Linked DNA regions of Kluyveromyces lactis. Each later gene encodes a partner of the first gene's protein in a complex. Each region holds a gene or a part of one and is shown on either strand. Other genes may lie near its edges. The genes, in order: BRE1 and RAD6. A codon is read from its position in the direction of its gene.

Evidence for each region.
Region 2: the proteins of BRE1 (region 1) and RAD6 are in contact, whole or in part, in a crystal structure (PDB 7W75), measured with the Kluyveromyces lactis proteins. Residues at the interface, in XP_451665.1 of Kluyveromyces lactis: Ser17 (codon at 2,604), Glu18 (codon at 2,601), Pro19 (codon at 2,598), Leu20 (codon at 2,595), Thr21 (codon at 2,592), Gln22 (codon at 2,589), Val25 (codon at 2,580), Ile26 (codon at 2,577), Phe28 (codon at 2,571), Gln29 (codon at 2,568), Ala32 (codon at 2,559), Leu33 (codon at 2,556), Arg35 (codon at 2,550), Cys36 (codon at 2,547); in XP_452450.1 of Kluyveromyces lactis: Met16 (codon at 1,146), Lys17 (codon at 1,143), Glu18 (codon at 1,140), Ser20 (codon at 1,134), Met39 (codon at 1,077), Ile41 (codon at 1,071), Asp50 (codon at 1,044), Thr52 (codon at 1,038), Ser148 (codon at 750), Trp149 (codon at 747), Asp152 (codon at 738), Met153 (codon at 735), Glu154 (codon at 732), Met156 (codon at 726), Ala157 (codon at 723).

What each region holds. Positions count from the first base shown.
Region 1 is NC_006038.1:267,138-271,177, forward strand, and holds BRE1 (E3 ubiquitin-protein ligase BRE1), read right to left. Parts: upstream 2,653-4,040; coding exon 661-2,652; downstream 1-660. Other genes in the region: DUS4 (tRNA dihydrouridine synthase), read right to left, coding at 1-185; AHK1 (Ahk1p), read left to right, coding at 3,687-4,040. UniProt on the Saccharomyces cerevisiae protein: E3 ubiquitin-protein ligase that mediates monoubiquitination of histone H2B to form H2BK123ub1 in association with the E2 enzyme RAD6/UBC2.
Region 2 is NC_006039.1:502,788-505,419, forward strand, and holds RAD6 (E2 ubiquitin-conjugating protein RAD6), read right to left. Parts: upstream 1,192-2,632; coding exon 697-1,191; downstream 1-696. Other genes in the region: KLLA0_C05610g (uncharacterized protein), read left to right, coding at 1-508; protein kinase PKP2, read right to left, coding at 1,781-2,632. UniProt on the Saccharomyces cerevisiae protein: E2 ubiquitin-conjugating enzyme that accepts ubiquitin from the ubiquitin-activating enzyme E1 and transfers it to a E3 ubiquitin-protein ligase.

The DNA.
Region 1 (4,040 bases):
GTGTACACGATATCGACGTCGTATTGACGACATGTTTGTCTAAATGCAAGCTTAGAGTACCTAACCATCGGTCCTGCGATAGTCGCTGGTCTGCAGTGTGTCTGACTTCTAGTTTTAATAATATGCAATGGATCATTTTTTTTTGTTAGCTTCTTAGCGGTAGGAAGCTGCACTGACAATGACATCTTACCGAGAGCTCTTGTGCGACCCGGAAAAACCTTAGAGATAATAAAGGACAGTTCAGTACTTTTAGAGACGCTACCAAAAATTTTAAGCGGACGACTAATACTTAGTATTACCGCTTCTGCTCTTGTGTGTCCCACCTTATATATATAGAGAGCCGTTACTATGAGAATAGTCCTGTGATTTCTTTATCTCATCGCAGTAGTCGATTAAATGTCAGACTTTGAATTTTGTTGATTTTTTAATCAGAACTACCGAATTAGGTATTTACAAGCGATATATTAGAATAATGTTACATAGATAATATATACAATGAAAAATGTATATAAGTCAAACTGTGGGGTCAAGGGGGTAAGGATGGATAAGGCATTTTCAAAAAATATATACCATTCTAAGAAGACAGGCGTGTTTACCGTTTGAAAATAAACGGCCTTGTTTTCCAAGATGCACCCTGATAGAATGCGGAATAAGACTCGTTCATAAATGTATGGATAGTAAATCGTTAGATGAGAAAGGTTTGTTACATGTAGGACATTTTCTCATCCTAGCAGCTAATCTTTCTTTGCAGCAAACATCGCAAAACACATGACCGCAAGTCTTGAGGGCAGTATTCTTCCAATTTTTGGAACATAATGAACAGTAGATTATAGTACGGAAATTCTCTAACTCTTCGGCTAGAGCACCATTGTCACCACCATTAGAGAGTAATGTCTTGTATAATTTCTTTGACTTGGCTTCAGCACTGGAAACCTTGATCTTCAGCTGCTTGTTTTCGATATCTTTGTCCTTGATTTTAGATTCGAGCTCAGTCTTAGTTCCGATTAGATTTCTGGTTTCTGATTCAAGACGTTCTGTTGATTTTTTCAATTTATTATTCTCAGATGTCAATTCCACTATCTTCATTGAAGTTTCTTTGTTAGATTCTTTGACCCTCTTCTCATTCTCTTGGGATAGGCTCAACTGCATGTGAACGTTTACGATCTTCTGTTGTAACGTCTTTTCAAGGTCCTTCAATTGAACGATGAGCTCGTTTGATTTGTTCAAATTTTTAGAAAGATTTTTGTTTTCTATCATTATAGCATCTTTGGATCTCATTGCAGCAAAATATTTTTCGCTGGCCTTTGTCTTTTCAACTGTCAATTTACTTAAAACAGATTCTTGGTTCAGGTATGCAGCATACTTTTTGTTTGAAAGATGTGACACCTCTCTGAAGGCCTTTTCGAGATCCTGTAATTCTTTCATTAATGCATCTTGGGACGCATTTTCTGAACTTCTGGATTCAAACTTTTGTAGTTGTTCTTGTTGGATATTCAATGACTTTTCTAAATCCTCTAACATCTCAGATTTGGTCTTTTGTGCCTCCAAAAGAGAAACTTTGGCCAATAATTCATCACGAATTGTTCTGATCCTAACTAAATCTTTCTCTAGAGAAGCATTGTGCTTTTTAAGGGTCTCCTGTGCTAAATTAAACTCTGAGGTAAGTTTATTGTTGAATATTTCTCTATCCGCGGATAGTTGTTGAAACTTGGTTAAGTAGCCTTCATTAATCTGTTGTAACTGTTCATTCTGTTTAGTTAAGGAACTGATTTTTTCATTAGTAACTGAAGCATCTGGTTGATGTTGCGAATTAGATTGAAGTTGGTTGTTAGAAAGCGCTGATTTATTAGATGCTACTGTTTGTCGTAGTTCCGAAAGTTCTCTTTCATTTTGATTTTTCCATTCCGTTAATTCCTTTACCGTAGCCTCCAAGACGGAGATTTGAGTATTCAAGTCATTTATTTCAATTTCGTGGTGAGCCTGAGATACTGCACTTTCTTTATTAGATTGGGATTTGTCTGAGTTATCATTTGACTCGTCATTCACAGAGCTTGCGCCAGTCGAAGATTGCTTCTCTTTCTTTACATTGCTATCATCATCAGCAGTGTTAAACACACGAGAAACACTTTCACTGTCCTGTCTATCATACTGAGCAATTATATTCTCATAATATTCGGTAGCCTTCTTCAGCTTATTTTCAGAGGATTTCAACAGCTTCTGTAAAGTCAAAGTGAGCGATTCTAGCTCCTGTAGTCTACCGATGTTATCAGAGATGTTAGATCCACTGGTCTTCAGTATTAGTTCGCATATCCTAGCACTGTTATTGCTGATTATCTGTGTAAGGGTATGCTCATCCTCAGTATTGATGAGTTGTTGTAAAAAGCGTTTGTCCTGCTCATCGCTGCAGTCCTCAACCACAGATCTAGCCAATACGACTATAGATGAACAGCATCCAGAAACCGACTCGGTGGTCTTCGAAAGCCCAGCCGCTAAAACCTCATTCTCTTCTACAAGCTGGTTAGCTTTGACTCTCCACTTATTCAAACATCTGAACAATGCCTCTTTTTGGAACGCTATTACATCCTTCTGCGTTAACGGCTCAGAAGGATCGGAAAGCTCTAGCTTTGGCCGCTTAACAAAATGGTCATTCATATATGCGGATTTATGTATAGGTCTCAGAAAACTTAGAGCTTGTATGACAATGTGAGCAAGTACAGTAAACCTTTCGTGAATTTCGTAAGCTCAGAATATCACACTGATAATCAGTCTCAAATTATATATCTCTAGATGTGAAAGACTGAAAAAAACCCTCCCACACTAAGTATTTTGCAAACTATAATGTCAGTAATACGTCTTGCCGAGTAGTACCCTTACAAGGCGTTCGAGATACCTCTTCAAGACCGACATTAGTGATGCTATCTTGTCAACTTTTAAAGTAAAACCTTTTTAACTTTTTTTCTTTGAAATATTTTTGGCGAATTTATCGAAAACCAAGGTCACGTGAAGGTAGCAGCAAGTAATCCATGTTCGCAGGGTGGAAAAAGGAAGTGCCAGGCAGCACTTTTTGATAAATTCATTACATGGTAAACTCTTGGGCTGTGTGCGTTCTAATGTGATGGGAAATGGCGTTGAATTTGATGTTATTACATGTGTTACTAATAGATTCTTGTTGTTTTTAGTATACAAAGATTTTTCATTCCGTTTCAATATAAGAATTTCTAAGATCTGAGATCCTTTAAGTTCACATAAAATATATAAAGTTTGTTTCTATATTCATTCAGTATTTTGTGTAGAGACAAGAGAATAGCAGTGGGACCAAATCCAATTGTATTATTGTGAGAAGCCCTAGTGATTGTATCAACACCTGGTGTAAAACGTTCGCTTTGATTATTTCACATTTCATAAGGGATTGCCAAAAGCTCTGACGTCTGTGTTTTGAAATCTTTCTGTCTCTGGGAACAAAAGTAGATTCTCCAGTTCTGACCCAAATTTAGATCTCAGAAAACATTTTATTCGTTCGATAGTTGCCTTACGTGCTTGGGGAAAGGTTTCGTACATGCGGTTAGAGTTATAAAATCCTCTTTTGAACGACCTTTCAGCCAGTAACCTAAGAAAGTTACCAATTAATTGAGATAGAACACTTTGAGAACCAACAGTAAAAGAAATCAAGAACAGACAGATTTAACATGGATACTGGCAGGCAAGATATGCATCTTTTGAATTCTTTGAATAAATTCATTAACCTCACAGCCTCTTCGGGTTCTATTGGTCACGGACCTGACCATGGGTTGTCTGTGTCACAATTGAAAGTGGTGACGAATTTCCTCCGATTGAATTTATTATCGCTATTACGTAAACTGGAACCACTTATTGAAGTATCCTCAGAAGAAGAACTACGTAACAGGCCTAAACAAGATGTACTGACTCAGTGGTGGTTAACTTTACTCAATTTCTTAAACTCAGATCTTATATCAGAAACCACTAATACGCCTCTTACAATAGATGCAATCTCAGTTTCACTCGAATGTATCAGCAGAATT
Region 2 (2,632 bases), on another chromosome or scaffold:
ACGTCTTTCTCCGGCAACTCAAGCACCAACCCCAACATTAGGTGCTTTAATATCACAATTCACACTTTCAGATAATTTCGATGAGACAACTTTAGAAGAACAATACGAACAACTGAAGCCTCTTCTGACCAGTATAACATTGACAAATGTGCCCTTTGACACCTGGACTTCCAATGATATTAACGTACTAAAACACCATCTTGATGCAAAGGCACCGCTGCCTTGGAAATTTTTAACCGATGACGAAAAACGAGTGTGGTATCTTTTGGGGTTTGGAACTTGGGGTCCGCGGAAAGAGTTCAATAAGGTAAAACCTAATGACATTCAGTGGAATGCGAATGCTAAGGTAAGTTCCAATCAAAGCGATGTTCCTAAGGTGGTGACACCTATACCGATTTGTTCAAGTGACAGAATCGAATGGGAAAAGAAAAAGAGACAACTAGATCCGCTAACAATATCAGTGGGCGTATTCGCCTCGATGATCACTCTCACAGCATTCCTTGTATAAAGAACTATTCGCATGGATATGACAATTTGTCATTTTGATTAAAGCGGTAACGGGTTGAGATTATTATGTAGATATTTGTATGCGTATATATATATATATATATATATATATATTTCGTGTTACTTGGATGCTTCTCGCTCACAAGGAATACTCCGGTTTAAGAAATTGGATCTAATCAATTTCGATTATCATTCTTCATCTTCGTCTTCGTCTGCCATGTCTTCCATATCATCTTCCCATGACTTTTCTACGGTCTCTTTCACACGTTTCACGTACTGAGATTTGTGATCCTGGAATAAAGTTGCTGCTTCAACGTTAGCAGGCGATGCAGGATTGGGATCATTAAATAACGACTGAATTGACGTTAGAATCGATGCAACGTCATATGTCGGAGTCCATCTATTCTGAAGAATGTCCAAGCAAATCTCACCATTGGCATACACGTTAGGATGGAACATCTCACTCAAGAATTTGACGTGCGGCGGTTTATTTGGATATTCTTCATCGAATTCTAGTAATAATCTAAACGTTCCATCTTCATACGGCGTATCTGCGGGGCCGATAATCATTGCATTCCAGATCATCACATTATCAGGTAGCGGCGACGCAGATACGCCTGGTGGCGAGTCTTCTTTCATTCTTTTGAAGTCTCTCATCAACCTCCTCCTAGCTGGCGTAGACATATTGTAGTATTCTTTCTTAAAACTTATTCCCTTAACACTTAAACAGGGTTCTTGAAAAGTGGCTATAATTTCGTTTAACCAATATTCAATGATTAATTTCTATCAGTACAATGACAATGTTTAACAAACGTCAGTGGTTCCTATAATATTTCGGTTTCCCAGTTGTAAGACTATCCTCTGCTATATCCCACTAATTGTTCAACCAGAGACAAGTTCTTAATAATTATTCGTAATCGGCGTCTCTTATTTCTACAGGAAATCTCAATTCAGTAAAATCAATTTTAAAGAACCACAATAGTATATTTCTTAACGAAAGTAGCTCCAGTAACAAATAATCAAACACACAGAACACTACTTGCCGTGTCTTTAACCACTGGCACCTTTCGTTTAGTCCAATAGTTATTCCAAACGCATCCTGTATCTATTTCAACTTTCTTTCGAAATGTGGCGAAATCTATTTGTGCGGGTAATAATAAAACGCTTTCCTATGCCAAACGACCATAAGTCATCGAATGATGATATAAATAAGTAAATATCGGTATATAGAGTGGTTACTATACATTACTATAAGCATTGCTAACTTGGTTTACTAAACTCTATCCAATTGCAATTTGTCCGTATGCCTCATCAAATTTCCTAGTTTGAGAACGGTATCGGTACCGTAACCTTGAATAGAATGTACGGTCAAATCACCGTTCCAATATTCGGCATATACTTTGCATAGTGCGAGACCAATTCCAAGTTTATATCTGGGAGATCGTTTGAGAAGCTCCATTAGCGGTTGTCCAACTTTAAATTTACCTTTCGTCAAATTGTTTTCTGACATCCGATCTAGCGATGTTTGTCTGTAACGATCTGATTTTAGATGAGCACCGTTAGAAGAATCATATAACGACAAAGTCTGCAATCCAGGCAAGTGATGGAAGTTGTCTAGGGATTGCTTGGCTAGCTCTTTTGATTTACCAAAGGACCATATCTGCTTATCAGAATGTGGCACTCCACCACCTCTATCACTGATTCTGAAAAGATAACTTTGGTCATTCGATATTATAGTTACTGTCACCGGAGGTGCCTTTTCTAGTCCCAATCGTATGGTCTCCTTGACAGTCACTTCGTAGCTGTTTCTTAAGATTTCTCCCAATAGGAACTTTAGATGCGATGGTAGGAAATAGAATTCTAGTTCAGTGTCCCCGTTGATAATCAATTCGGGCATCTTGATGCCCGCAAAATACATATTATTGATGTATGCCTCACATACTTCCCTCGCACCGTTCAAGTACTCCTTGGCGTTACATTTTTGGAAAATATCTCCCAAAACAAGTGTGTTTTCCTTCTTTCCACTTAAATAATTGGATGTGATACTCAAATGTTCTTCTACGATCAACCTTCTACTAATCCGGGCTCTCAATAAATCCGAAATCAATGCATCCATTTTATCCTG